Diceros bicornis minor: one gene and its partners. The protein of the gene in region 2 interacts with the protein of the main gene of each other region in a biochemical or structural test. Links are inferred from orthologs where the notes say so. Each region holds a gene or a part of one and is shown on either strand. Other genes may lie near its edges. The genes, in order: AXIN1, SMURF1, PLEKHO1 and PDLIM7.

Region 1 (7,930 bases), about 40 Mb from region 2:
ACAGGGACCATCAGCACAGGAAGACATACAGCAGCCAGGTGGAAGGTGACAGTCACGCCGGGTATCATGCATGCAGCGGTGGACACTGGGCTGACACTGGAGCTGACCTGTTTGAGGCAAAGGCCTGCTCCCGTCCCTGTACCTCCCCAGCTTGGCCGCGGGACCCCAGATCACTCCCAGGGCGTCTGCCTGAGGCAGCTTCAGCTGAAGGGCTGGCGAGAGAATTCCAGACAGCAAGAGGGATGCAAGATGCCAGCCTGGACAACACACCTGCCCCAGTGTGAAGGGCGAGAGGAGCCAAACACAGGAGGAAAGAGGCGGGGGGACCTGCCAGACGCAGACTCGGGGCCCAGGGAGCTCCAGCCCAGAGTGTCCACGGGAAGCTGGGCCGGCCCAGGAAGCTCGAGGTGGCACCTTTTCACTGGTCCTGGGGCCAACTCTGGGTGACTGCCACAGGCACAGCACAGGGCCTGCCACCCTGCCCAGCACTGCCCAATGGGTCAGCTCTGTCGTCCCCCAGTTCTCAACCCTCTGCCCGAGCTGCTCCAATGGGTTAACTTATACTGAGCGTTGATGGAGAGATGGCGCTGCTGCAGAACTTCAGGGTCTCCACGTGATCATAACAGCAACATCGTTGTAGAACTTCTTCCTGAAGGCACAAAGAAGAGAAGGGAGCCCACCCCAATCCTGCTGTCTAGCAACAACGGGTGTTAATGCTCCAGGATGGTTCTTCAGTCTTCTTGACTGTATACCCACATTTCCTGTGCTCACAAAAGCGGGCACCATGCACGCACTGTCTCCTAGCTTTTCTCCTTGGTGTTATGTCTCTCCATCTTGGTGCAACATCTCTGCACCCTCTGTTGGGCCTGGGATGGTGGCACAAACAACACCTTGCCCTCCCCCGAGCTCAGAACGGATGGAAAAAGGACACTCAGGCCAGAGATGGAGCCCAGGGGGCTGGGCTTACGGCCAGGAAGGTGGCTGGCCAGTGTGACTGGGGCTGCGCCTCACAGGGAAGTCCACTCCTCATTGGTCAGAACTGGATAAGTCAAGGCCTCCCTCCCCAGCCTGCCCGCCCACCCCCACCTCTAGAAGCCCTGTCCTGCGCACCCAGGAAGACCATGGGGATCTGCCGCACAGTGTCCCATCTCTGTAGCTCTTTCTCTGGTGCTGGTGTTCCCCACCGCGCATCAGGCCGCGCCTTGGCGTGCCTCCTGGGTGCCTGCCGGGGGGATTCCTTTGGGTCACTTTTCATAAGCTTTCTCAGCCAAGCGGACGAACACGTGTGAGGCTTCCAAGCTCAGTTTATTTCAAAGTATTCCTTTTTTGTCTAAGTTGAAGAAAATAATTTCATTTCTGCTTTTTTTTTTTTTTTTTGTGAGGGAGATCAGCCCTGAGCTAACATCCGTGCTAATCCTCCTCTTTTTGCTGAGGAAGACCGGCTGTGAGCTAACATCTATTGCCAATCCTCCTCCTTTTTTTTTTTTTTCTTCCCCAAAGCCCCAGTAGATAGTTGCATGTCATAGTTGCACATCCTTCTAGTTGCTGTATGTGGGATGCCGCCTCAGCATGGCCGGAGAAGCGGTGCGTCCGTGCACGCTGGGGCTTCCGAACCCAGGCCGCCAGTAGCGGAGCGCGCGCTCTTAACCGCTAAGCCACCAGGCCGGCCCTCATTTCTGCTCTTAAGTTTCTCGTTTAGTTCAGGGAAAGCCTGAATGAATTTTGTCCCCAGTTAATCAAATGGAAGCCTCTAGTGGCAGACTCCCACTCCCAGAGAAGGGGAGTTGGGTTTTAAAGGGCTTCTGTAAAGAAAGGACGTGGCTCCGTCTCGGGACTAGCCTGTTCAGAAGGGAGGCTCCCACGGCTCTGTGACTGGTCTCAGCTCCAGGTGCCTGATGCAGTCCCCCTGCCAGCTCACCCCTGCTCCACTGCAGGCCCCCAGGGCCGCCCTCCCTCTCTTCAGAGTCTTCACTGAGCTCGCTTATCTGGCCCACCCCCACTCCACCCTGCTCAGACAATGTCCCCTGCACGCCCACAGCCGTAACCCACTGTGGCAGGGCTGCTGCGTATCCTCCAAGCTTTCTGACTCCCTTCCTGTCCCTGCAGGGCGGGGGCCCTGAGAAGCCAGAAGCCCGAGGGCCTTGTTCTGGTCCCAGGGCCTGGGGACACCTGCTGCCATGCGCCAGGAGGAGGATGGACGTGGACACAACCCTGGGAGCCTGGCCTGGCCGCAGCAGTGGCTCTGCAGAACCAAGGCAAGCGTGGAGGGCCCGTATCTGGGAGTGGGGAGGCAGCCTGAGGGCCAATGTCCAGGAAGTCCTGCTGTCTGTCCAGGACTCCCACACCCCACAGAGACCATGCTGTGCCATGAGGGTCACCACTCTGTCTCCTGGAAGTCTCTGAGGCTGAACAAGGTGGGGGAGGAGCTGCAAGGGCGTCTCCCGTGGCCAGCACTGCGAGGCCTGAGGCCATCCCAGCTGCATGCAGGTGAGAGTGACGCCTGCCGCCAGGACCCTAGTGGGGCCAGTGTGGGTTAAGCAGAGCAGCTCCTGTGATGTGCTGTCCTCACCCACAGCCCCAGCCCCTGCCCAGCCTGCCCTGAGGTGTGGTGATGGCCCTAGGAGGTGGCCTGGGCCCTTGGCAGGCTGGGGATGCTTCCCGGTCCCCATCCCTCACTGCCCCACTTTCCTACAAAACCCTGGGCAGCGGATGCTGTGCCGGTCCCGGAGGAGGCCGGCTGGCAGTGGCTGGGGGCTGGGATGCCTCTGTACCCGCTCACACAGGAAGGCACCACCAGGGGCAGCTGCTGGGAGGTGGCTGGTGGCTCAGAGTGCCCTGAGCGGGGACTTCTGCCCTTGCCTGGGAGCTATGAAGGATGAGGGTGGGCAGCAAGGGTGAGCAGTGTCCAGGAGAAGGTGCGGTGGCATTAGAGGTGACGTGGGGGACTTGGGGGGGCAGGGTAGTAGAAACATGAAGGTGGGCAAGTGACCAGAGGCACCCAAGGGAGGGTGGTGTGGAGGAGATGTCAGGGAAGGGCCCTGAAAGGCTATGGGCACCAGAGATCAGGCCAGATGAGGGCTGTTGGGGAAGGTGTGGGGTGGATGAGGTGTTGGGGAGCCCTGGGCTGGGAGGTGAGCAGGTCTCTTTGTGGCCTGAGCTGCAGCTTCCTCTTCTGTAGAATGGGGGTACAGCCATCCCCTGGAGGCTGCTGGGGGCATTGCTCGAGGTGCCAGGCCTGGCGTGGCTCTGTGGAGGACAGGGTCCTGGGTGGTCATGGGGCATCCTAGAAGTGATTCCTTGGGGCAGTAATCAATTCCTGGCGCTCACATATGTCCGTGGTGCTCACATCTGAGTTGGTGGTGGGCAGGCAACATGGAGTTTGCCAGCTAGGCTTGCAGGTCAGGCAAGAGCTGCCAAGGTGACAGCTGGGGGGAAGGGATGGTGGGTGCAGGGAATGGGACACCCAGAAGCAATTGCTCTCAGGCTGGCCTGGGCGAATGGGACCCGCAGGCAGTGGTGGGAAGGGGAGCCCTTGTCCAGACCCTGGATGGTGCCAGGGAGAAATTGAGGCAGGCAGGCCCAGCCGAGGTGGGGTCTCAGCCAGTCTCAAGCACAGCTCTTTGGCAGTTGGGGCTACTGCCCAAGTGACAGCCAGCATTATCAGACACCTCTTGCCCACTGTGTGCCTTGGCCCTGTCTGAGTCCAGACTGCCTGAGGACCTGGGGAGGGGAGAGCCCTGGCCCACCTTCTCAGGGTCCTGGCCAGCCAGGGGGCAGCAGGCATGGTGAAGGTGGAGACAGGAGCTGGACATCACGGGGGCTCAGCTCCCGGTCAGCCTGGCTCTGCCCTCCAACCACCCAACTTCTGGACATCTGCTTCCTTCAGTGCGCCGGTAGTTGGTGGCCGTCCAGGGCCACCTGCAAAGGTCCTCCTGTCCAGGGCCGGCGGGCAGGGAGCCCCGCGGTCTCCACTCCCTCTGGCCACCCCGTCCGCCCAGGCACAAGCTGCTCGCCCCGAGCCGGTGGGAGGCTGGCTGGGCGCGGGCCGACCTCGGGAGCCCTGGGCCAGTGGACACCGGTGTGGGCGGCAGAAAAGGGCTGCGACCTGGCGTGTGCCCTGATGCGGGGCCGGCTGTCCGCTCGCTGTGTGCACCGGGCCGGGCATCCCGTGGCCGGGGTCCTTCAGGGAACCTCGCGGGGGCGTCCCCTGACGCCGCCCTCCGGGACGCCACCGCCCAGGGGGACGAGCCCAGTTTCCCGCCGCCGGTTCCGGCTCCCCTCGACAGGGTCCCGGCCACGCGGCACGCCCAAGGCCCCAACCCCACATCAGTGCATCTGACCGCGCCCCCTCGCTCTGCCTCGCCTCACGCCCCAAGCCCGCCTGGGCGCTCTGGCCCCGCATCCGCGCTCAGGCCCTGCCTCCTCTTTCCAGGCTCCGCCCTTCCCTGCGCTCCGGCTCCGTCTGCCACTCTCGGCCCCGCCCACAGACCTGGCCCCGCCTCCATGTTAGAGGCTCCTCCCACACGTTCTTAGCCCTGTTTGTGCACCGTGGCTCCTTCTAGCGGTCCCGGCCCCGCCCCACGCTCTCCGCCAGCTTTACGCTGCGGCTCCGCCCCACACTCAGTCCCGCCCCACGCCCCGCCCCCGCCCCACGCTCCTGGCCCCGCCCCACTCCCTGCCCCCGCCCCCGCACTTCCGGGCGGCGCCGGCGGGGGCGCTCCGGCCTGGGCTTCTGCGTCTGGGCTCCGGCTCCCCGCTCAGGGAAGCGATCGCGGCCGCTGCCGCCGCCGCCGCAGGACCGGCTGGAGTCGGGCCGGAGCCGCGTCCCCGCGGAGCAGGCCACGGAGAGCGGCGGCCGGCCTCGGCGGCGCCCCGCGGCCTGCCCCGCGCCCACCTCCGGGCCGCCGCGCGATGGGGGCGGCCCCGGGCCGCGCCCCCGCCCGGTCCCGCCCGCCGCACCGCCACTGAGCGCATGGGCCGCGCCGCGCCGCGCCGCTCCGGGAGCCGGGCCCGGGGCCCCGCCGCCGCGCGCGGGTGAGTGTGCGGGCCGGGCGCATTCCCGAGGGCGCGGGCCTGTGCGGCCGCATTGTAGGCCGCGTAGGCCGGGCGGGCGGGACCCGGAAGAGGGGCTTGGCGGGTGCGGGCCAGGAGGGCGAGGGGAGGCTATGTGGGCCGGGAGTGTGTGCGGGGAGGGTATGCGGGCTCCAAGGGTGTGAGGGGAGGCTGTGCGGGCTCCGAGGGTGTGAGGGGAGGCTGTGCGGACCGGGAGTGTGTGCGGGGAGGGCATGCGGGCTCCGAGGGTGTGAGGGGATGCTGTGCGGGCCGGGAGTGTGTGCGGGGAGGGTATGCGGGCTCCGAGGGTGTGAGGGGAGGCTGTGCGGGCCGGGAGGGTGTGAGGGGAGGGTATGCGGGCTCCGAGGGTGTGCGGGGAGGCTGTGTGGGCTCCGAGGGTGTGAGGGGAGGCTGTGAGGGGGCCCTGGAGTGTGTGAGGGGAGGGTGCAAGAGGAGGCATGCGGGAGGGCCCAGGCTGTGCGGGGGGTTGGGGTGGGGCCTGTGAGGTCCAAGGCTGTGGAGGCAGGCGTGTCAGAGGGGGGATGCTAGCAGGGGATGGAGAATGCGAGAACTGTTGACACTGGCGTGTGTGAACACGGAAGAAGCAGACTTTGGTTCAGGAAGTGCAGACTCTTGGTTTGGGGGAGAGGAAGGGTGTGAGGAAGACCCCGGTTTCCGAGAAGGGGTGGGTGGTGCTCCTGGAGGAACCTGGGGTGGGAAGCTGCTGCGTTTGATTGTGTGGTGCCAGGTGTGTTGTGGTTCTCCTGCCTGGGGTATGTTTTGTGGTGTGGGTGGGGTGCAGAGTAGCTGCTGGGCCCAGACATTCTGTGCAGGGATCTTGGAGAAAGACAGGGCAGTGGAGCGTCCCTTCCCTCTCCCCCCAGCAAAGAGTAGGAGTGAGTGAATCTGTGCCCTGGGCTGCGTCCAGCTGTGGGTGGCCTGTCCAGTGGCTGTCCTCTCTCAGATTGATGCCTTGCCTCCAGCACTCTCTCTCGGGTGTGGATCTTAGATTCTGCCTCCACTACATGTTTTGGAATTCAGTCCCCCATGGAACCAGAGCTGCACAGCCAGGGCAGTGAAACTTGTAGCTCGGCACAGAGGACAGTAGAGAATAATACACCAGATCTCTGGGGATTTTTCTCAGCCCATCTCTAAGATAATTTGTAAAGAGTTCTTATTGTGCATCTCGGCTTCTCCTCTTTGCTTGCATTTTATGTTCTTTGCTTCTTTAGGAAGAATCTCGGGCATACTTAGACCCACAGGCTCTGTTTTGGAGAACACACACAGTCTAAACGTGACCTCCCAAGATAGTCGGCAATATCTGGGTTTCAGTTTTAAGAACTTCTATTCAGGGACAAGGATGGGAGAGCATGCAAAATACAGTGTTTCTGTTTGATTTTCAGCAGGTGTTGGTGTTTCTTGGATTTCTAGTTTCAGAAAAGCTAAGTGGACTTTTTTGGGTTACATTAGTCATTGAGAATTGAGGTGGTGGGGGAATGCATTGTGTGTAAAACAGTAGACCTGACCCTTCAAGAGTTTAATTAGCAGACAGTTGGGAAAATGTCATTCTTGCTCTGTTACTTCCACAGTCCATATAGATCAAAAGTTCAAAAGTTATATTTGACTAAAATAAATAAATACATACACATCTGTAGCATCGAGCTGGCTGCCCTGGTACCCAGGGGGTATGCCTCAGCAGTGACTAAATGAGATTTTAAATGCCGTATTGGAGTTGTAGATTCCTTCTATGGAATCCCTTTATTGATGGTGGTTACAGGCTGTTGGCCAAACTCAGTGCTTGTGGGCATTTGACTCTAACCTGAATTAACATAACTGCTTTCTGTGTGGTATGCACACGTGCGGACACTAAATGCTGGTGTGCTCCTCTGTGGGAACCCAGAGGTTGCAGGACCTGGAGCACGTTTCAGTGTCATCAGTAATTTGGAGAGGTGTTCATGTGCTCCCAGGGACACCAAATGTCTCTGTCAGTTGACAGCCAAAAATAGATGTGAATTACAAGGAATGTTTCTTTTGGGCAATGAAACATAGTTTAAAATGATTAGAGGGACTTGTTCACACATGAATTAAAATGTTAGTTTTTTAAGACATCCACTGTTTTGTAATGAATGGCTGGGTCTTGAATTTGCTGCTTGTTCTATAGCACAATAATTTAGCGTCTGTAAAGAGTTAACATTTGGCATCTATGACAAGTGTTGTTTTCCTTTATGTCAATGAATTAAATATTTATTGGTGCTCATTAGTTGCAAGACTTTGTGCTAGGTGCTGTGGGTTCTGCAGAAAATGTTTAAATCAGCCTGCTACAAATAATTTACATAGAAGACATAAGCACCTTAAGAGAAAGTGACAGTGACTCCTAATTAGCCTCCCATTTGCACACAGTGACTTGGTTCTTTCTCAAGGCTAGTGAACTACAAGGCATCTCCAAGGGTAAGGCTCAAGGGCCAGGTGCTGGCCCTCTTTCCTAAGATGGCATCCCGGACAAGAGGACATTAGACGTCCACAAGCTGGTGTGGAGCTGAGACACCGAAGGTGCTCATTCCAAGTTGATAGGGCTCAAAGAAAGCAACTTTGCAGTTGATGTGGTCCAGGAGCAGCAGGGTGCCATAGCCCATGGGCCTTGACCTTAAGAAACAGGGCATTCCTGCCAAGGCTGAGATTACAGCCTACCCAGTAGTTTACATAGAAAGTCATTAGCTGCAGAAATGTCATTTGGGGCACATAATTGTGACCTATTCTCTGTCTCTGGATGCTTCTCGCTTCTAGCCATCTGCAGCTGCCGGCAGGTGAAGTGTGTGCAGCATGAGAAGGCAGGTGTGAGGGGGTGGATTACACGTATACCAGTGTGAAGTAGCCCTGA
Region 2 (7,240 bases):
TCATTTATATGACCAGGTCTTCAAGAGTCAGGCGGGTGAGGACGTTTGGATTTATGTGGAGTTCTCCTCCCTGTTAACCCTGGATTATCTCCTGTGAATGGAGTTCATTCAAGTTCCTTCTAGGGTGACAATCAAATGTAATTTACTTAATGACAGGCTTTTGGGGTTGAAATTCATTTCTTTCCTGACAAAGTTGAGTTTTATTTTATACTGTATAACCTTAGGAAGATAGTCCAACCTTGAGAAGTCAATTTTTTTTTTTTTTGTGAGGAAGATCAGCCCTGAGCTAAGATCCATGCTAATCCTCCTCTTTTTGCTGAGGAAGACCAGCTCTGAGCTAACATCTCTTGCCAGTCCTCCTCCTTTTTTCCCCGCAGAACCCCAGTAGATAGTTGTATGTCATAGCTGCACATCCTTCTAGTTGCTGTATGTGGGATGCGGCCTCAGCATGGCCGGAGAAGCCGTGCGTTGGTGGGCGCCCGGGATCCGAACCGCAGCCGCCAGTAGCGCAGTGCACGCACTTAACCGCACTTAAGCCATGGGCCGGCCGAGAAGTCAATTTTAAGCAGTTGTTAAAAAAAAAAAAGGATGCTCATAGTTTACTTTCCTTAGAAGTCAAACCCTCAGGCATGGGAAGTACCCTGAGGACAAGCACCATTTTTGTTGTTGTTCTTCATGGAATCCTCCGAGTTTAGAACAGGGCTTTGCCTGTGGTGGGTGATCAGCAGATGTTTGTTAAATGGATGAATGGATTCACCACTCAGAAGCAGCAGCTTTTACTAACTGACCTTGGTTTGTCAAGTTATATGACCTTTTAATTTAAAGCCTCAGTTTTCTCATCAGGAAAATGAATATAATAACAGTATCTGTCTCATGGAGTTGTGGTGTTGAATAAATGCAATCATGATGTCAGATGCAGTATAGTGCCTAATGATCTTGTAAGCATTCAATAAATTTGAGCTGCTGTTATTAGTTATACTCAAGGAAATTAGATTGCATTTTTAAAGTTTCACAAAACAATGGCAAAGTTTCCAAACCTTCCAAACTGTTCACTGTGATTCCATTGATAGGCTTCATCCAATGTTTTTGGCAGATGTATTGGTCCAGCAGATGTATTGGTCGGATGGTTGCCTGGGAGATAGTCTGCTTCCAGGGTGGTTTCGGAAGTTCAAGTTGCACACTGCTCCTTAGTTCCTGGTGTACAATCACCATGTGCTCACTTTTCAGCAAATGAGATAGTAGACATCCAGGCTGAGGTAGAGTTGGAGGTAATAAACATTACCATTGCGTATGGCCTTTGTATGAGGACATTAGAAAGGAAAAATAAACGTGTTTAAGGAGACAACGTTGATAATTAACTGATCTAGGAACTGATTACTTTTGGAATATAACTTAAAAAATTTAGATAAAACTTTCTCTAATGAAAACTTGAATTTTCCTATGTTGTAAGGCAAAGAAATATGTGTCCACCTGTAAAATCACCCTGATTCTTCATGCCTTTGTTTCACTCTAACATGATTGGAAGACATTCCATTTGGTTTATTTAAGACAGAAACTGGAGACTGGAGATCTGGAGATGGAAATTATTCTAAAAGACAGAGACTTTAAATGAGATACTTTGCTTATCTCCCAAGCCAAGGGGTCTGGCCTGTAATACTTGGGAAGTAATCAAACAAAAGCCAACAGTAGCTTTGGAAATTGCTTCCTGGGAGGCCTGTCTTCTTTCTTCACCCAGGAAGAAGTCTTCCTAATGTAGATTCTGTGGGGCAAATCCACGGTGTCAAGAAAAGCAACATTTTAGGATTAAAAGTTAAAAATTAAATATGTCCCTCAGTTATAGACTTTCTTGGAGTGTAATGGCCTGATCAGTCCTTGGAAATCATCCCTTAAGGTGTAAAAATGACTGTGTTCATTAATGAGGGCTTTGTTCAAAAAAAAGTTCCAAATGCCCTCTGGACTTTATTACTTGTTTTTTGGCATGTACTTTTTTTTCTCCTGCATTGTATTACCTCTGTTTCGATGCAGGGGAACCTTTTTTTCCCTAGTGCCACCAAATGTCACTCATGATACCTTAAGAAATAGCATACATTCGTTCTGAAGAAGATCTGTCGGGTGGCGGTGTATGCAAAGCTGCCAGGCGCTGACTCCTGGTGGAGTATGGGGTGGCAGTCAGTCACACCACAGTGGAGGTTCTAGTAAAACTATCTCATTCATTCATTCAAGCACTTATTCATTTATTTCAACAAATATTTCTTGAGCATTGAATTTATGCCAGGCCCTGTGTTCCGTGCTAGGAATGTAATGGTTCAGAAGAATAGTCCCTGCCGTCTTGGTGCTTATGTTCTAGTGAGTAGTTAGACAGGAAAAAAATAAAATTTATTTATTCAGCAAACATTTTAAAGTAACCTCTGTGTGCCAGACACCATACCAAGCTCTGGATACAGTGGTGAATACCAAAGACACAGTCCTGTTCCAGTGGACGTTTTTGTATGGGACAGGCAGACATGAAGCAGCATATCAATAAATAGAGGATTTAATTTCAAACTCTGATAACAGCTGTGATGCTGCTATGATAGTGTAATGTGGGATGGGGGTAGAAGTGGGGATGGCTGCTGAATCTTTCTGGATCTGAATAATTTCACCAATAAAGTGGAAAAAAGTGACACCTGCCCTGTATGTCCACTTGCCTCATCCTGTAAGAATAGGTAGAGAATGATGTATATAAAAGAGCTTCTGAGACTCTAAAGTCACATGAATGGTGTTAGTGTTTGCTGCTGGTGGGGACCGAAGGGGACAGGCAGAGGAGCAAGCATGTCCCCTCATCTCAGAGCTGAGCTCTGCCTCATGGGGGGAGGAGAGTTTCTGCCACAGCAGCCCTGCCTCGCGGGTGCTTCAAGGTTTGGGGCTATGAGCTGAACCCTGTCACACTTCTGAGGTCAAATAATTCACACAGTTCTGTCCTTTATTTTCTAATTTAATACATTGATAGAAGATGAAGCTGTAACACTCATATTTTAAGCAAGGAGGTGTTTGGAAAACCTGTCTCAAGCCTGTCAGTTTACCAGAGTCACCCGCACCTCCAGAGCCAATAGGGACGGCTGGTGATTGCTAAAACGTGTTTTGTTAACTTAGACAATTTTACCTGCAAAGAAGAAATCATTTTATCATCTAATGGTGTCTGAATAGTGGAAATGTGTTAGTGTGTTATGTGTATAAACTTATTGAGAAGGATTGGGAAAAGTTGTTTATTTCATTAAGCAGGTAATGGAACAGAGTTCAATTCTGTATGGATTTGAAGATTTTGGCATTTAAAGTCTGCTGATGTAACTCAAATGTGATTGTTTTTTCCTCTTAATGAAAATTTGAGGATTTCCTAAATTTGTATGAGAAGTGACGGATGAGTGACTCTGGTACAGGGCCTAGAAAATGACATGCTAGTGAAGCACTCTGATCAGGAAACCTTACTCTTTGCCATGAGCAGGGATTCTGTTTTTACTCTTTTTTGTAGCTTAAAGGATTTTTCCCCAAGGAGATAAAAAGAGTGAGTTTTAGACTTAAGTTAGATGAGATAGACAACTAATAATATACTTTAAATGCATATTATGTGCTGGTGGCTATCCTAGGTGGTAAATTATATTTTCTAATAAATGAAAATTTTACGTAGATGTTTTAAGTTAGTGAGATACCTTAATTTTCTATATTTTTATCACTGTTACTCTCTGGCTTGCTTTTTGTTTTCTGTTCATCATAATCCACGTTACGTGCCTGTTGTGTGGCCAGCACCACATGAAGCCCGTGTCTAAAGGGGTGGAAGGTGGGACTTCAGAGGAACTTAGCTGGGGGCAAAGCCACCCGTATGAAAAGTGATTGAGCACTCAGCTCTCTGGCTCTGACAGTAAACAGGAGTAAAGCGGCAACAGATTGCTGCTGGTTAGAGTAGTGATTCCCGGAGCAGTCAAAACATTATGTAAATAAGGCTATCCACATAAAATTGCCAACTTTTTATTTTGCCAAGTCACTGTTGAAACTATTACCATTTTTTGTTACCTCATTTCGTTAAAGATAGGATATTTCAACATGAAAAAAATAGACATAACACTGGGACAAAGGACAGGTGTTTAAAATTAATTAGTTCAGTTTTATGAAAACCCACTATATTGTTCTCACTGTTTTCATTTTGGCACTAGTGAAAATGTTATCACAGAGTGACGTTTGGGAGACGCTGGCCTGAATGGGGCTTCACTGAGAAAGTGGGCCTCGCCTGGCTCGAGAAGATAGAGCACAGGAAGAGAGAGGGCTTGTCCGGTGGATTGAGGAGCAGGAATGACCGCCCAGCGGGAGCACTGGTTGGGGCGGATGGAAGCGGGGAATGAACCCAACTACGCTTTGAAGAATGTGGGAAATAAAGGTGATACTAGAGAATGGGACACTTTAAAACTCAGGGAGAAACAGATTTGCAGTAAATACAAGACAGAGCCATTGGAGTCTTTTGAGCCTCAGAACAGGAAAATGGCATTTCAGAAGACTAATCTGGTGGCTAAGTGTAATGTGAATGGAGAGGCTTGAGTTAGGAAGGGCACGCTGCTCTTAGATTAAGCTGTGAGTAGGTGAAGCCGAGACTAGGAGAGTGAGTACAAAAGCAGGGGAAGGACGAATTCAAGAGACAGTTGGAAGAAAGAGAAGGTAGGATGTGGTGATACATATAAATATAAGAGGAGGGAGGAATAAAAATTACAGCCAAAGTTTCTAGCCTTGGAGAATAGAAAAATAGTGTGAAGTATTGACACAAATTAGAAAATTTCTTGTATGTCAACTATTTCTCATTAAAACCGGGGGAAAAAACCCCAAAAATGGAAAATTTCTTAAGATGATATAATAAAGTACTAAATTTGTGTTGATGTAGCTTATCCTGGGAGTGGGTGAAACCACAAATAGTATTTTGGGGACCCTATGCTTTTGTCAGCGACCTGGTAAAGAAGCTTGTCTTACTAATTGAATTTACCTCAAGTTAGCAAAACACTTCCCTTCCGTGTATTTTCAGATGCTAAGTGAACATCATGTAATTTACTCTTACTTTATCCCCAACATGAGGAAACTATGGTACGTGATTAGGAAATTATAGGATGTAAGAGACATGATTTGTCCAAAGTAGAGAGCACTTGAGAGTTGGAGTTGAAGCAGCCATGCCTGGTCTACACCGAAAAAATAAGCTTCATTTTTTGTAAAAGTAAATGTCTCTTTTGTTCATTGTGGTATCCCCAGAAACTCACTCATAATTGGTGTATCACATACTTGTTTAAAAATAAGTGGTATATCTAGACAGAGTGGGATTTTATGCTGTGTAATAAATTATCTTTTATCATTATATCTCCTAGAGTAGACAAAGAGAATTCTATCTCAAGATCACAAAATTATTCTAGTGGGAGAAATTAATATGCCTTTAACTAAAGTAGATTCAGTATGATCCTAAAGGATCTTTGCACAAAATTGAGGCAAAATTCTCTTTATGCTGACACTATTGAGACCTTCTCCACTTTGTGATGTAACCAAATTCCGCTGGAGTGAGCCTTAAATTAAAACATTGCCAGTCTTGTAAATATGAACAAAGATTAATCTTTCTGAGATGTTACCAGAATTCTTCCAGTCAGAAGCAGTCCAGCACCAGCACCTCAGAAAAACCAGGGCCCAGAGCTGGCGGATAATCTTGGAGGCTGGGGAGGTGAGGTTGGTTGGGGGCAGAGCATGACAGGTCTGGAGTTGTGCAATGGGAAGCGACTGTGGAATTTTTTAAAAGGAAAGAGACATGAGGAGATTTAAATCTTGAACAGATTACTTGGTGATAGCTAGTGTTGGGAGCTTGAACAAGGGTGGAGATGGTTTGAGAGAGATTGAGAAGTATAAGGATGACACACAGATTTCTGGCTTGTGCAGTTGATGGGTGTTGCTGGTGGTCTCTGAAGTAATGAATCTGCGGAGAGGACCAGGGTTTGAGGCGGAGTGGGAAGATTTTAACTTCAGTTTTGGACACTTTGAATTTAATATGAGAGCATTTGAGACATTCAAAGCTGTGAGAAAGAAAAGGCAAGTGAAGGAAAGAGAACATCACAGGCCCATTTGAAGAGAGTTGAAAAAGACGGCTGATTTTAAATTAACTTAAGAAAATTGATGGCTTTCCTATATCCAAATAACATTTAGAAAATGCAGCGAGAGGAACCCTCATGAGATTCATGATAGTGACAAAATCCAGAACACTTAAGAGTAAACCCAGTTAGAAATGTGGAAAACTGTAATGAAATACTTTAAAACCTCACTTAATGTTTAAAGACAGGCATTAAAGAACTTAATAAATGGATGATTAACTACATTCAAGAATGGGAATACTCAATATTGTAAAGAGGTAAATTCCTCTTAAATTTATTTATGAGTTAATTTTTTTAACTGGCTCAAAATGATTCTATAGTTCAATGGGAAAAGTAAGTATGTGAGACTATCCAGGAAAATGCTGAACAAAGAGTAATGATGAATTTCAGGGGCATGCATTTTCTGTTTATACATTTCCAAGTTTTCATTTTTTATAAGTAATGTATTAATTTTGTAATTAGAGGAACAAGAAGTAAAACACCAGCAGGAGCTGTAATAAATTATGATCTATCCACAAAATAGACTGAAGAGTGTGTGTGTATATGTGAATATATATGTACACATATATTGCCATTGGAAAGGAAGGGTGTAAAGATTATGCTGAAGAGGAACTATTACTACCAACTATACTGAAATAAAGAGGATTATCAGGGAATGCTGTAAACAACTGTATGCCAACAAATTGATAACTTAGGTGAAATTGACAAATTTTTATTTTATTTATTTTTTAAAATATTTTATTCTTCTTGTTGCAATTGTAAATGGGATTGTCTTCTTGAGTTCTCTTTCTGTTAGTTCGTCGTTGGTATATAGAAATGCAACTGATTTCTGTAAGTTGATTTTGTACCCTGCCACTTGGCTGTAGTTGTTGATTATTTCTAATATTTTTCCAATGGATTCTTTAGGGTTTTCTATATATAAGATCATGTCGTCTACAAACAGCGAGAGTTTCACTTCTTCGTTGCCTATTTGGATTCCTTTTATTCCTTTTTCTTGCCTAATTGCTCTGGCCAGAACCTCCAGTACTTAGTTGAATAAGAGTGATGAGAGTGGACACCCTAGTCTTGTCCCTGTTTTCATCTTTCTTCACTTTTATTTT
Region 3 (7,783 bases), on a different chromosome or scaffold from region 2:
AGGCAGTTGTGGGAGACCCTGCCTTTATGAGGGGAAGTAACAAAAAAAGACTGGTGCAAATTCTAGTGGAGGGGGTCAGGAATTTTCTTGCATTAACATGTGAATTACAAACATTATGCCATGCATTTTTAAAGAAAATTTTTGAATCTGTTAGCTCCGGAGCTTTTGGGAAGTGGACAAAATAAAACCTAGAGTCCTCTATCAGTTTCACCTTTAACCCAGGCCATTGTAGCAAGGAAACCGGCTCCAAAGAAGAGTAATATCAATAGGCTTGTTCCCTCTTTTCCTATGCCTTCCTCAGCAGGGGGCTGTTGGCCCCATGACCAGTCAGATGCTCCTGAGTCACAGGACACCAGACATCCTAGGCTGAGGTCATTTCATCCTTTCCCCTGTCTCTGTACCCCTTCCTCAACAAACAAGGATCAACCACGCTCTTTCGCCCCCAGACTCTGTTCTTTGGACAAATACAAACAAGAAAAAAATGTCTTGTTCCTTCTACCTCTTCCCTGTTCCCATGTCTCCCCTTTGACGTGTGGGAAGTTCTCCCTGATTGCTCACTAGAGTTTCCTGCCATTATGTAGTTCGGGAAGACAGGAGATACCCTTTGGCACTTGCTTCTTTTTTTTTTTTTTTAAATGGAAAGCCAGCAAATTGTGGAAAAACCTTTTGTAGGATTTGGGATTGGGTAGAGGTGACCCTTAAAAATAAATCCTCCTGTCAAAGCCTTCTCTCACCTCACTCCATCACCAAGTGCCCAGCTTAGTGTAAACAGCAGGTGTAAACACCCTGACGAGGATCTCTTTGGCCCTGGCTAGTTCTACCCTAGTTGCCTTAGTAGATGTTCTGTTCAGATGAATACTTTCTCAAGGCCTGCGTGTGTGTCTGTTTCAATACCATAAAAGGATTTATTTACCTAAATATAGTCTGCTGCAGAAAGCAGAAGAGGTTAGAACTCAGGGAGGACTTCCCAGTTAGCCCCAGGGGGAGGGAATGCAGATTCAGGGGGAGGAAGGGCATGCGACCAGGGGAACACAGGACAGTCTCCTAGGCTATGCTGACACAGTTGTAGAGGTAGGGATGGGATGACTTCTAACCCCTGGAGGGGCAATTTCAGTTTCTCAATATTACTACATGTTATTGATCCCAAGAATTAGAGAGAAAAGGGAGAAGAGTCTAGATTCAATGATCTGGCCTCAGGTTCTGACCCAGTGTGGACTGAGGTTTTCATTTTAACTACAGAGCCAAAGACATGGAAACATACACGGGTTCATAACTTCACTTTTCTCCCTTCTGATAGGAATGAGGGGTGGTGGGCAGGAAGAGGGTGGAGAATGAGTTCCTTGCTTCTTTTTTTAGTGGAGTGGGGGTGGGGAACAGAGAGCATAGTGGTTAGGGACATTGGCTTCAACAGAAATAACTGTGTGCCTCTCATACTCTACCTGAGATCATATGAGACTGCCCCTGGGTTGGGTGTGTGTTTTCTGTGATTCAGGGCAGCCGAGCTGCCTGACGACCCGTATGCCCCTGCTAGAGACAGGAAAGGGGAGGCCAGCGGGTCGGAGTGGGGGGACAGGAAGGGGTGGAGAATAAGCTGAACAGAGTGTCTCAGCAGCAATAGCAAAGAAAAAAATCCTACGTTCAGCTAGAGACCAGGATAGGGTAGGGGTCAGCCGGGGACACTTAGAACTTTCGGGATATCTCGGGAGGGGGTTATCATCGTTGTCAGAAAGGTATTTGCAAAGAGAAACCATTAAATAAGATGTACAGCCAACTTCTAACTCTGGTCCTCTCCCTAAAGGATGACCTCTCTCTGCAGATATGGGGGTAGAGATCAACCTGAACTTGCTTTCGGAACAAAATGGGGAGTGAGGCGAGGGGGAGATGAGAGGTCGATAAGCCCCCTGTGGAGAGACGAAGTGGGGAATAAGAGAAAACAGGGATAGTTAGAGGCAAAGGGCACCTACCTCCTTCTCAGAGATGTAGAGCTGGTCCCCTTTCAGCACCACATAGCGGTTTTTCCAAATCTCCCTGAAAATCCCTTTCCCGCAGAATTTCCGGACCCAGCCGACCTTCTCAGGCGGTGCAGACTGATGATTTCCATCCTGAGGCCCCTGCCCCCGGGGCGAGAGAAGAACCGTGCGGTTAGGCGAGCACAGCTCTTTCCTTCTCTCCTGCTGTCCCCCGACCTCCTCGGTCCCCGCTCCCGCTGTCCTGTGACCGCCCGCCGCAGGCTGGAGTCGGGGAGCTCAGCGGCGATCCCCCACTTCTGGAAGGTTTCCACTCCGCCGAACTCTCTCCCCGTCGCTCCCCTCCCCCTTCTCCCAAATAAACAACCGAGCCGCGAGAGGCAGGGGTTCGGGCCCGGCCTGGCGGGGAGGTGGCCTTCGGCTTTTCCCCAGCCCCCACCCCCTCCCCCAGCCTCCGCTCGCGGCGCCGGATTAGCGGCGTTTTATTTTATTTCTCATTGTCTGCTCGCCCCTGCAGAGCGCGACGCGATCGGCCGCCGGCCGCCCGGGGAGGGGACGCTGGGGGTCGGGCAGAAACTAAGCCAAGTTAAAGCCCCCCACCCGAGTCCACAAACAAAAGCCCCCGCCGGCGCCTCCCCGCGGGGCCGGGCGCGCCGAGGGCGAGGCCGGGGGCCGCGGCCGGGCGGGCAGGGCGGGGGCTCGCGCAGGACGCCCGCTCCCCGCCCCGCGCCCGCAGCCCCGACGGGGCCGGGGTCCTCGGAGCACGAAGTCGGCTGCGCGCGCGGGGCGGCGGCTCACTCACCCTCTTGGCGGAATTGTTCTTCTTCATCATGCCGGGTGGGCGCGGGCGCGGGGAAGCGGCCGAGGGGCGGCCCCGCGGCGGGGGCTCCTTCCGAGGGGAGGGTGGCGGAGATGCCCCCGGCGCCGCCGCCGCCGCTCCTCCCTCCCGCTCCGGACTCTCCCCTTCTTTGTAGCTCCGGTTACACTAAAGGCCGGCCTCCCTCGCACTCGCACTCGCACATACACGCACGCCCGCTCCCCGCCCCCCGGCGCCCTCCATCCCGGCGCCCACGCGGCCGGGCCCCGAGCGCGCCCCCGCCGCCCGCCCGCCCGCCCGCTCGCTCCCCCGGCCCGGCGCTGTGGGCGGCCCGGCCCGGCCCCGCACTTCCATCCACCGGCCCGCTGACGTTGCGAGTTCGGAATAAAGGGCGAATCGCGGCGCCGGAGATGGTGCGCTCCCCCCTCCTTTGTTTCTGACTCACTGAGGGTAAAGAAGACAGACCTAAACCCAGCCGGGAAAGGCTCCTGGAGGGGCAGAGAGACCCAGACTCAGACAGACGGTCGAGCGAGAGGTGGAGCCAGAAAAGACAGACCCGCCGGACCTGCCGAGAGACACAGCAGAGGCAGCTGGAGTGGATGATAGAGAGACATAGATTTATGAAGACCAGAGATAAGCTAGAGCGAGATCATCTCTCGACATCCTCTCCCTCCCAAACCCAAAACAAAAACAAGAGCGTGAGCTGGGAGGGCGCGTTACTAAGAACCGGCGTCTGGAATGCCCTCTCCCTAGGAGGTAGACAGAGTGGCCTGAGCAGGACAAATGTTGGGGAAAAGTTTTATGCTTCCGAGGGTATCAATGTGCAGGGGGACGCGGTGGGAGAGAAGTTAATGTTAATATGCATTTCTTGCAGTTTACAAAGCCGCAGGCCTTATTTGAGCCTCAGGAGAATAACCCTCAGTGTGAGGTGGACATTATGATCTCCACTGCAGAGAGAGAAAGAAAAGTGAGACTCAGAATGGCTGAGGGATTTACAGACACACACAGTTAAGTTCCAGCAGGAATAGAATTCTGTCTCCGAAGCCGTGATCCGTTATACCAAGTGGCTTTAAATACAAGCTGCAGGTGAGACTTAAGCTTCCTGCCACCTGGGTGTCTCTCCCTGCTGCACTGACATGTAAAAATCCCATCTTGTCTACTGCACTCAAATCCAGTGGAGGGAAGGGCTCAATGCCCAGAGGAGGACCTGAGTGGCGGAACCTCTGCTCATCCCTCTTACACCAGATCTGCCTCAGAGCCTACAGACCAACATCTCAGTAACTTCATTTTCAATACATATTTAATGGGAAGAAGGGAGTCAGGAAACCTAGGTTTGGGTATTGGTTTCATCACTACTCCGTGGCCTTTGGTTGAGTCACTGAATTTCTTTAGGCCTCAGTTCCTCCACATATGAAATGGTGAGGGATGAACTGCCCATTCCATCAACAAGGAAAGTTAGGAAAATATATGAGATGACCTGTGAAAGTCCTCTGAAAATATAAATATTGCCCTCCAGGGCTAATTCTTAAATAAAAATAAGCTAACAAACACATTGCCTGGCGTATGGTAGGCACGCAATAACCACAAAATGAATAAAAATCCCTGGCACAGAGGAGCAGGAAGAAGGAAGAACTCTTTTTCTGGAGATGTCTCAAGATAAAAGAAATCGTTGGCCAAATTTGCGGTTTGAGGAGTGGCATGATCTTGGCTTTTTCTGGTATCTGTCAAATGAAGGAGGAGGATTCTCTCTTTTCCCAGTCCCTTCTTTCTCCCTAATCCAATAATATTCTTCTTAACCTCTTTTCATTTACCATACTAATTCCTCTATTTTAGGATGATATAGAAATTTATCCTTTCAAAATGCTCTTATGTATCATTTCTTTAAATCTTTAGTGCCACCTTGTGAAATATATAGAATAAATATTATTATTCTCACTTGGAAAATGAGGAAACAGGGCATGGGAAATCAATTGACTTACCCAAGTTTACACAGCAAGTTACTGGCTAAATGGATTAGAATCCAGGTTTTCTGACACCAGTCTATTATTTAGGCTTCACACACACACACACACACACACACACACACACACACACACACACTCTCTTTCTCTCTCTCTCTCTCTCTCCCCTCTTTCCTTCCCACCATCCTTTCCTTTTCCCATCATCTATTTCCCACCTTCTCTGTTTAAAAAGTGATTTAAAAAGAATGAGAAAATCCAGGGTATCTTCATAAGTGGGGAAGCAAAATGTCCCACTGTCCTGGTGAGGAAACTAGCCTGCATGATCTTTTGAGGGCTTGCTGACCAGACAGATAGGAGTGGTTTGGATTTATAGTTTAAATAGATTCCGTTTTACGGGAAAAAAAGTAATTCATGACTTGCCCCATCTTCCTCCTTTTGGTCAGCAAATAGTTGAGTGCCTCCTAGATGCAAGGTCCTGGGTCCCTGTGTGCTGCGTCAGGCAGGACAGGAGCCTTGTGGAACATCAGGCAGAGGGACTGCTAAAAAACCAAAACCCTCCAAAGTAATTTTCAGATTCCAGAACAGATGCATGTGGGCTGGAGAACCTTCCCTGCCTATTTGCTCCTTAGGATGTTACATAAATCTCTGGTTTTCTCTCTCTCATTAACCTGCGCTGCTGCACTGCCTCATCTTATCATCCTATAACATGGACAGAAGCCCGAGGGCTTCACAGTGTTGTGTGTAAGGTAAAGAAACAATGGCTGAGAGCTGAGAGGAATGGGGAAAAGGGAAATGGAGAGGGTGACCTTTAGCTTTTCTCTCACTTTGTCCTGTTACTCATCCCTCTTTCCCTATGCCATACTCTTCCTCTGGCCTGTTCTTCCAGCTGACTTCTTTCTCGCCAGGTGAACTTCATGGCACCTGAATTGGGATCTATGAATTGGGACTGTTTCCAAAGACCAATTTTTAAGTTAGAAATGTCAAGAGTTCCTTTACACATTTTCATAGCACGGGCTCCTCATTGAGTTTGACACTACCACTCAAGCCAATTTCTCTCTTAGGTGGAGATATACTAGGAGGATTTGTGATGGGGTTACCTCCCTAACTGCATCACCATGGATAAGACAACTGCCGGTAGCTTTATTCTTCAATTGACTGTTTTAAAGATTTTATTTATTTATTCCCCCCCCCCCCCAAAGCCCCAGTAGATAGTTGTATGTCATAGCTGCACATCCTTCTAGTTGCTGTATGTGGGATGCGGCCATGCTGAGAGGCCGGAGAAGCGGTGTGAAGGTGCGCCCAGGATCCGAACCCGGGCCACCAGCAGCAGAGCGCTCGCACTTAACCGCTAAGCCACGGGGCCAGCCCATCAACTGACTGTTTTATAAGTAACTCCACCTAAGGGAGGAAGAAGGGAGCTATAAGAGATAAGGACTTGTGAATTGCTGCCTGCAAGTTTACTGAGCAGAACCTGTTATCCAAACAGCTGTTTAGCTAAAAACAAGTACCTTGGCTTTTGTGGACTAAATGGGACATAGAGGGCACTTCAGTCCATTGAAGAGAGGTCATTAAAAACAAATGAGACCTTAATTAAAATGATGTTTCTAAAGGGAAAAAATAAAGGACCAGTAATAATGTAATCAGCTCTGTAAATCTTAAATAAAAATATGAACCTTTGATCCTTAACAAAGAAATGCCAATTTCTGGCATCAAACATCCTGAGGGTAAGGCTCATTTCTTAGACTTCTTGATATTGTTAGTGACTAGGCACATGGGCAGCAGGCAAATAATGAGGAGAATGATATAAGAAAAGTCTCCGTTCTTATTCTTATTCTGAAGACGTCTTGCGCAGAGGAAGGGAAGCACAGGCAATCCTGCTTGGAGGAGGGAGGTTTCTGTTTATTTGAAAAGACTATGTAACTTGTAAAAAGCTGTATTTAAAATATTGTCTCCCTAAGTGAAGGCTGTGTCACTTTTTTATTATTATAAAAATATTAAGAATTAAAAAATAGTATCCAAAGGGACCCTCAAAAACAAAAACAAAAACAAAAAAAGAAGGCAAAAAAGAAAAGAAAAGAATTTAGATCTTAGCTCTTAGCTTTACTATGGACTTTTGCCCTTAGGGCTTCATGTGAGTGTGTGTGAGGTAAGGAACAATGGCTGAAAGCTGAGAGGAATGGGGAAAAGGGAGATGGAGAGAATGACCTTCAGCTTTTCCCTCAATTTCTTGAATTGCTTATTAGTGCAGAGGGAGGGTTGACAGGAATCCAATCATTTTGCATAGTGATTTTTGCATTCCCTACTTGGAGACAGGAATCAATCTTATTTACTATTATTAGTCCAATTTCATTGAGTGTTTGTGATGTCCTAAGTGCTTATTTGTATTATCTCATTTTATCCTTACAATCCTATTAGGAAGGTATGTTATTACTCTTGTTTTATAGATGAAGAAACTGAGCCACAAAGAGACTAAATAACGTTCCCAAAGCCACACAACTGTGACATAGATTTCAGCCTAGGCTATCTGATGCTAGAGAATGTTTATCAACATAAAAGAAAGGTTAAAAAAAAGTGTAAAGACTTACCGAGAGCCAGGGAGGGATTGTGCTGTGGTGTTTTTGCTATGATTTGAGGACGCCATAATTTCCTGGCATCAATGACATCATCACTTTCCACTGCTTTCAAGAGAAGTGAAACTGACACCAGAATTTATTATTTGCCTTGAATTTATTATTTTCCTTGACATACTTTAAATGTCTTTCAGGTAGAGGCAATGCCTTCTCTATGTTTGGTATAAAGCCAGCTCATGCCTTGTCTCATGAATTCCCATAGTTATTAACCCCAAAGAAGCAAAAACAAATCACTTGTATCTTTTCATAAAATGGATTTTTATTGTAGCCATACATGGTTTCTCAGTGCCACAGAAAATTGCAATGTAGGGACACTCAATATTTGGATGGCTCTCTGCATAAACATGACGAGTTTTCAGAAATGAGTTGTGTAGGAATGTGGTTAATGAAAAGTAAAAGGGGTCAAGA
Region 4 (7,586 bases), on a different chromosome or scaffold from region 2:
GATGGGAGAGTGCTCAGAGAGGTAGAGAAAGAAGCAGGAGAGAACTCGGGGGTAGGGGGCAGAAGGGTGGCTGGAGAGAGAAGCAGGGAGGCCCTAAGTACGAAGGAGGTGAAGAGCCAGGGGGCTGGACATTGCATGGGGTGGGGGTGAGTCAGCCTGAGGGCTCCACCGAGCAGCCCAACCCCCAAGTCCCAGACGTTACCTCATCTCCCAGGCCTGGGCCCACAGCCAGTCCTGGGAGCCCCTCCCTCCTCTCTCCATGCCGGGGTCAGGGGAGACAGAGGGGGCTGGCCCAGCTCAGAAAAGACCACCCCATCAGCCCACCCACCAGGGCCTAGGTCCAACTCCAGGGCTGGGCTCAGCTCACCACCCCACCCACACACTGGGGCTGCTGACAAGCAAGGCGTGGCCCAGAGTGCCCCCAACAGGCCACAGCTGAAAGTCCATCCCCCAAGCTCACTATGTTGCCCATCCCCACCAATGAAGAAACAGTCTCAGAGGCCAGCCAAGGCCTGCGACTCCCCAGCCACACTGGCCAGCACTTTCCAGGGAGGGGGATTCAGGATAGGTTTTCTGGGCTGGCAAGGCATCAGGACCGTAAGGGCTGGGTGTGTGTGTTGTAGGGAGACCTGCTGGCAGGGTAGTTTCCAGGGGAACCCCATGGAAAGGTCCCTGGGAAGATCAGTGACCGCCTGCCTGCCCTGGCCACCAAGCCCAACTCCCGCAGACTCCGCCTTGGGGCCCCTCTCAGGCTGGGCAGTGCCTGGACAACCTTCTGGCCCCCTCCAGGCTGTGCCTGCCCTGGGCTTCCTGCCAACAGCCGCCTGCCCACCAGGCACCCGGGTGGGCCTCTCTGCACAGGCAGATGTGGGGACAGGAAGTCCCCACCCCACACTGACTCCTAGGCCACAGTCAGAGACACCAGCCCTCACCCTCTCTGGGCAGGCAGTTTGTTGTCTATGTCCCACAACTGACCCTACAGCTGGAGCTATGGCCTGGTGGTCACCAGCTGAGGGGCCCACCAATGCAGTTCAGGGGTCCCGGCCTAGACCAGCCTTTTTCGGCTCTGCAGACTCCAGCCAGCAGATGGCCATCCCAGCATGGGGCTGCATTCTTGGGCTTATAAGGCAATCCCCCTGCCACAGGGAGGAGCCAGCCCTTAGCTCCACCCAGGAGCCCCCCCCAACCAGGGCAGGATCTTAGGAGTCACAGCCCTAGAGACCTGTCCCACACCCCTGCTTGGGGTCAAAGGCCACTGTATCCTGAATGGGACCAGTGGGGGATGCAGGTCCTCGCACAGGCTGGAAAGAGACCCTCCTCACTCTCCTAACCACGAAAACTGCAGGCCATCCCAGTGCCTGAATCCCAATCCCTGCTTTGTCATGGAATTGCTGGAGGAGCGCCTCCACCTCTCTCAGTCCTGAGCTCCCTCATCTGGAAAAACAGGATGACAACTGCTATTCCCTGGGTGGCAGTGAGGGTGAAGTGAGATCCTGCAGTCTGAGTGTCCTGCCTGGGGGCTGGCTCCAAGCATTGCTCCCTCAAGGGCCTAGACACTTCCTGGAGATCTCAGGCTCCCCTCCTGCAGAATGGACATCCCTCAGGCCTCAGAGGTGGCCCCAGGAGCTTCATGGAATGGCATCAGGTATAGTGCAGTGCTGGGGAAGTATGAGGACTTCTTTCCCAGTATCCACCTAGTTAGGAGTCCTTGTGGCAGGTGACCACCACATCTCTGGACCTGGACACCTCCTGGACTCTTGGCCCTGGCTCCCTCCTGCTCAGACTCCTCCCATCACCCACTGGAAACCTGAGCACCCAAAGACTCCTGGGGGAGCCCCTCCCCCAACCTAGGCTCACCCGGGAGATGGACAGGGGCACATTGAAGTCCTTGCCCCCCTGCAACCGGAAGCCCCAAGGTGCTGGGCCATCCAGCACCACCTTGAAGGAATCCATGGTGTCCGTTCCTGAGAGGAGAGAGAAGGTGAGTGGCCAGCATAGTGAGTGTGCAGGCAGGCCCAGCTCTGGACACCAGCCTTGGACTGGTGCCACGCAGGCACAAGCAGACGCTTAGCACACCCAGGGCATCTGCAGGCGGGCACCTTGTCAGGTCTGGCTGGGCTGCTGGCTGGCAGGCCTCACTTTGGAAAGACAGGGGCAACCCTCCTCCCCCAGGGACTGGGAGGGTGAGGGGAGCCCGCATCCAGTCTTGAGGTTCTTTTCATCCAGGAGTGGGCCGCAGGGCTAATTTGGCACGGCCTCCCCCTAAGCCAGCCTTGAGCCTCGGATGGCGGTGGGGTGAGTCAGGGGCCGGCACTCCTCTCCCCCGCCCCCAGGTCCCGGCAGGCAGGCCGCAGCTGGAGCCTGCTAGGACTATATAAGGCGTGTAAGCTGACACTGTGCGGAGAGTCAGCGGAGGGAGCACACGGGGGCTCGGGACGCGAGGGGGAGGGGTGGGGAGGGAGGCGGCTGGAGCGAGTCCTAGCCATTCCAGGACCGGTCGAGGCTGCTGGGAACCAGGGCGGGACCCCTGGGCGCTGAGGGGGACCGGGCAGGGGTGCAGGCTCTGCGGAAATCGGTGGGGGCTGGACCCCAAAGCGTGGCCAGGAGGGGGATTCATCCTGGAGCCCAGTGGGGGTGATGCCACTCCGACGTGACTCAGTTTCCCCCTGGTCCCCCGCCCGGGCCCCATGCATTGGCCGAGTCCCGAGCGCAGGAAGCGGCGCAGGCGCCAATCGGTCCCGCCGCTGCCGGCTTCGTCGCAGGAAGGCGGGGGCGGGGGCCCGGGCCCGAGGGAGGAAGCGCAGCGCTGGCCACGACCCCTAAAGCCCTCTGCGGTCCCCAGCAGGCCTCTGCCCCCCGCCTGGCCCAGCCCGAGACGCCCCGCGCTGTCGCCTGTACCTGCTCGGCCCCGCCGAGGCGCTGCTCCGCAGCGGTCTCCCAAAGGCGGTGTCGGGCTCAGCCGCTCGTGTTCTGACCCCTCCCCCGTGGCTGCCGTCCGCTTTGAGCCCGCTGAAGGGGGCGGTGCCCCAGGCCACGCCCCCATCGAGGACACGCCCGCGAGCGGCCGGTCCGTCAGTGGGAAGCCCCACCCAATCCTCCCTCCCCGCCCAATCACGAAATCCCGTCTCGCTTTGAGCTGGAAGGCACGGCCCGCCCCGGGCCCCTTGGTGGCGCGGGGCTGGCGCGGGGCTGGGGCGGGGCCTGGGCTGCGGGATGCCGCGTCTGGGAGCCCAGCCAGCCGCTCGGCCAACGCCTTGCGCCTCCCGCTGGCCGAGTGAAAAGAAGGCAGCCTTCGAAATCAAACAGATCTGGGCATTAGTTGTCTCTGAACATTAGTTTCCTCCCCGGAAAAATGGGACAATAATACTGGCCTTGCAGGGCCGCCGTGAGGATAGGCATTCTTTGGCGTAAGGCGCAGGCATCCGCGGCTCCAGAATTTCTAAATCGAAGAAACTTGGTGGGAGGAGACACATCGAGGTGGGATTAGTTGAGGTGGGAACAGGTTTGCAGAACACTCTACTGACGGCAGAAAATAAGGGCAGGAGCGGACGGAGGTGGAGGGGGCCCTGGGCTCGGCCTGAACTGTGGGCCCTGGCCTCCCTCCCACCCCGTGACCCCAGGCAGTCAGCATCCCGCTGCCTTGCGACCCCGTCTCAGCGACCCCACACTGTCGAGATGGGCTGTGTTCTGGTACCCGACTCCAGAGGGGGTAGCGCCGCTAGTGGAGGCGCAACGGGAGACTCTAGCGAGGGTGTCCGAGTCCCCGCTTGGCCCCCAGTGCTCAGCCCCGGCGGCTAGCTCAGCCGGCGGGGGAAGTTGAGCAGGGACGGGAATGAATCGACGTCCACCTCTCAGCTGCTTCTAGGGCGTGGCCGCGGCTGCCCTCCCTGCTCCATCATCACGCTTCCCCTCTTCTGCATCATTCCCCTCACTACACAAACTGCTGAGAGAGTTCTCATCTTTAGAGACATCTCTCTTGACCCCACCTCCCTCTCCAGCTATTGCTCTTTTATTCTACTCCCCTCGAGAGTAAAATCCCTGGAAGGAGTTGTCTATCGCCCTGTCTCCGCTTGCTTTCCTCTCGTTCTTTCTTGAACTCACTCCAGTCAGGCTCTCATCCCCACCAGTCCTCTGAATTAATTCCCTTTTCTCAAGGTCTTTGATGCCTCCAGGTTATCGAATCAATGGCGGTTTCTCAGCTTTGTCTTACCGGTCCAGGGGCATTCCCTCTTCCGCTGGCTTCATGCCTCCTCCTGCCCCACTGGCTGCTCCTTCACCGCCTCAGTAAACAGCACCACCATTCATCCACCTGGTCCAGTAAAAACTATGAAGTTATCCTTCCTTTCTCTTCTCTGTCATACCCCAGATTCTGCAATTCCCACCCTCAGAATATGTTCCACATCTGGTCACTGCTGCCGTCATTGTCCCTGCCACTTATCTCGTGTCTGGACATCTTAACAGTCTCCTAATAGAGCTCCCTGCTTCCATGCTTGCCCACTCCAGAGTCTTCACCATGCAGCAGCCAAAATGATATTTTTAAAGCAGAAATCATACCACATCACCCTCAGCTTTTAGCATTCCGGTAGGCTCACATTGTACTTAAAACTAAAGTCCTCAAGATGTATATGCCACTAATAAACTGACTCTACCTCCCACCACTCTCCTCCTTGCTCACTGCACTCCAGCCACTCTGGCCTCCTCACTGTTCCTCCAACATGTCAAACATATTCCTGCCTCAGGGCCTTTGCACTTGTGGCTCCTTCTGCTTGAAGCACTTTCACCCAGATGTCTAAGCAACAGGCTCTCTCACTTTGTTCAGGTCTCTGCTCAGCTGTCGCCTCCTCCAAGGGATCTTCTCTGGCCACCTATCTAAAACAGGAGTCCCTTGACACCTTGCCAGCATCAAGTACTAGTCCCTTACCCTGCTTTATTTTTCCCCATAGCACTTACAACCATCTGATATTATATCAAGTGTTTGTTTCTTTATTGCCTTTTCCCCCTTTGGAAACTCACTCCCATGAGAGCAGGGACTTGTCTGTCTCGTCCACCAACATTTCCCCAGTGTCTGCACACAGCAGATGTGAATGAGCAGATGAAGGAAGAAAGTGACACAGCACGTGAGCAAAGGAAGAAGTGGCAGCTGGGGGTCCTGGCAGTCCTCCAGCAGAGAGGACCCTGTGACCGCATTCCTTGGCCTGTGCAAGGCTCAGGCCTGGATGGAGCCACAAGAGCTCCCTGTATAGGCAGCCCCTGGGTTGCCCCAGGCTAGGACACAGTGCCCCCCGGCGGCCAGGACAGCTACAGCTCCAGGGCCAGGCCCCTAGAGTCCTGGAGGTTTCCAAGGACTTTCTCTTTCCCAGTCTGATTGGAACCTCACAGAAATTGCATGAAACAAAGAGGCTTAGATTTGTAGTGAAGGGAAGCATGCCTGACCAGGGACCCAGAGTCCTGGGTTCTAGTTCTGGTCATGACCCTGACTCTCTGGGTAACCTCCAGTGTGTCCTCGGATTTGCTGAGCTGTGGGGCAGAGGGGTCCCTGCCGCAGGCACCCTGACTGGGAACCTTCTGGCCTCAGCTGGCTCTATGGCAGGCAGCCTGATGGATCATGGGAAGATTTTACCCATCAGGAGGAGCTTCCGTAAGTGGGTCTGAAATCTGCCTCCCCATCGCTCCAATGTCCTGAGCTTTGCCCTCTGTGGCCACAGACACTCTGGGGCAGCACTGCACAGAACCCCCCAGCGTCCCTTCAGACGTTACATTTGGAGATGCCTTTTAGACAGCCAGAAGTCTAGTGTGCAGTTGGATTCTTAAATCTGGAGCTCAAGGGAGAGGTCTGCACTGAAGATATACCTTTGGGAGCCATCAGCATTTCTTTTGTCTTTTCTTTTCTTTTCTTTTTTTGGTGAGGAAGACTGGCCCTGAGCTAACATCTGTGCCTGTCTTCCTCTATTTTGTATATGGGACGCTGCCACAGCGTGGCTTGATGAGCAGTGAGTCGTTCTGCTCCCGGGATTCCAACCTTCGACCCCTGGGCCACCAAAGCAGAGAGCACGAACTTAAACACTACGCCACTGGGCCGGCCCCTAGCCACCAGCATTTAAATGACCAGTGAGACCTGGAGACAGGACTGGCTCACTTAGGGCAGTAGTTCTCAGCCTTGGATGCACACTACAATCACTCAGGGAATCGGACAAACTGATGCCCGGGGCCTGCCAGGACTGATGAAATGTGAGCCTGTGGGTGTGCCCAGGTGCAGGCATTTTTTAAAGTCTCCTGGGTGATTCTGTGTGCAGCCAGCGTTAAGCTACACTGTGAGGCTGGAGCCCAGGGCAGGACTCTGGCAGAGGAGGAGACAGCAAAGGCTGGGAAGGAGGGGCTCAGGAGGGAGGAGGAAAACCAAGTGAAGACAGCGTATCAAGGAGGGGTGTCGAATGCTGCTGAGAAGTTGGGGAGTCCAGCTCACAAGGGGAGTCCAGGTTGCTTTTGTTTTGGGCAACAGGGAGGTTGGTGACTGTGATAAGAGCAATGCAATGAAGTGGGGGGACCAACAGGAGTCTGGAGTTGGTGGAAGGGAGAATGGGAGATGAGAAAGTGGAAATGAGAGTAATCAACAACTCTTTTGAGGAGTTTCACTGTGAAGAGGAACAGAGAAATGGGGAGGTGGCTGAAGGAGAATGTGAGGTCAAGGGAAAGTTTCTTTTAAAGATGTAAAATTACAGAGCATGTTTGTTTGTGGCTGGAAATGACGATGATGGAATTAATGGGTCGAGGAGATGGGCAGCTCAGTTTGCCAAGCTGTTAGGTGGTGAGAGGAGCTGGGATCAGACACATGTTGGGGAAAAGATACTTCTTCCATTGTAGGGCAGGAAGGAGGCAGTGCAGATGCAGGTGCACTTGTAGAGGAGGTGGTGGGAGGTTTGGGGGGGGTGGTGTTCACCTCTGTCGGCTGCTGTTTCTCCAGGATATCTGCAAGCTGAGACTGGGCAGGGATGGAGAGGAGAAGGTGTGGAGGTCTCGGAGAGGAGAAAAACAGCCATTCTGGGACACAGGATCTCTGGGCAGCGTAGAAGGCCTGCCGATTTGAGGTCTGAGATCACATTGCTAAAGACAACGCAATCAGCCTGGTGATGTGAATGTCCCCAGTGTGGGCCTCTGCCAGGCTGCAGGTATGGAGGGAGTTTGGTGTTCCCGTGGCTCGTGGCTTTGCCAGACAAATAAGCTGGAAGACGAGAGGAGCGTGAGGGGGTGACTCCATTGGCAGAACACAGAGTCTAAGGTGGACAAGGATGGAATTGTGGACAGCAGCGGCACAGACAGTCAGAAGAGGGTCACCGTAGGTGGACGCGGCTGGAGAGGAGCTGTGTGGGTCGTGCTAGAGGCAGTAGGCTGCAAGAAGAGAAGGATGTGGCCAGAGCGGGGGCACTTGGAAACAAGATTGTGAAGATGGAGCATCAATGTTATAAAGATGGGATTCAGGATGTGCCAAGGGTGTGGATAGCTGAGCCTGGGGTCAAGGGGCCAGGAAGCCAGGTCCTTGGGAGCATGATGCTTGTGTGCACGGAGGCCCCAGGGATGGTGACAGGAGT

The links.
Region 1: of the proteins of SMURF1 (region 2) and AXIN1, one has a biochemical effect on the other in vitro, tested with the Homo sapiens proteins (2 studies listed by BioGRID, with this or other methods). The link is inferred for Diceros bicornis minor from reciprocal best matches to the Homo sapiens genes SMURF1 and AXIN1.
Region 3: the proteins of SMURF1 (region 2) and PLEKHO1 form a complex in vitro, tested with the Homo sapiens proteins (4 studies listed by BioGRID and IntAct). The link is inferred for Diceros bicornis minor from reciprocal best matches to the Homo sapiens genes SMURF1 and PLEKHO1.
Region 4: the proteins of SMURF1 (region 2) and PDLIM7 are reported together in a solved structure, tested with the Homo sapiens proteins (2 studies listed by BioGRID, with this or other methods). The link is inferred for Diceros bicornis minor from reciprocal best matches to the Homo sapiens genes SMURF1 and PDLIM7.

Annotation. Positions count from the first base shown.
Region 1 is NC_080765.1:47,944,157-47,952,086, forward strand, and holds the start of AXIN1 (axin-1), read left to right. Parts: upstream 1-4,924; 5' UTR 4,925-5,034; intron 5,035-7,930. UniProt on the Homo sapiens protein: Component of the beta-catenin destruction complex required for regulating CTNNB1 levels through phosphorylation and ubiquitination, and modulating Wnt-signaling.
Region 2 is NC_080765.1:7,552,269-7,559,508, forward strand, and holds the start of SMURF1 (E3 ubiquitin-protein ligase SMURF1), read left to right. Parts: upstream 1-4,228; 5' UTR 4,229-4,323; coding exon 4,324-4,408; intron 4,409-7,240. UniProt on the Homo sapiens protein: E3 ubiquitin-protein ligase that acts as a negative regulator of BMP signaling pathway. Mediates ubiquitination and degradation of SMAD1 and SMAD5, 2 receptor-regulated SMADs specific for the BMP pathway.
Region 3 is NC_080743.1:54,644,331-54,652,113, reverse strand, and holds the start of PLEKHO1 (pleckstrin homology domain-containing family O member 1), read right to left. Parts: upstream 3,004-7,783; 5' UTR 2,800-3,003; coding exon 2,770-2,799; intron 2,587-2,769; exon of another isoform or gene 2,568-2,586; intron 2,112-2,567; coding exon 1,965-2,111; intron 1-1,964. UniProt on the Homo sapiens protein: Plays a role in the regulation of the actin cytoskeleton through its interactions with actin capping protein (CP).
Region 4 is NC_080740.1:90,709,111-90,716,696, forward strand, and holds the start of PDLIM7 (PDZ and LIM domain protein 7), read right to left. Parts: upstream 3,003-7,586; 5' UTR 2,899-3,002; intron 1,965-2,898; 5' UTR 1,954-1,964; coding exon 1,858-1,953; intron 1-1,857. UniProt on the Homo sapiens protein: May function as a scaffold on which the coordinated assembly of proteins can occur. May play a role as an adapter that, via its PDZ domain, localizes LIM-binding proteins to actin filaments of both skeletal muscle and nonmuscle tissues.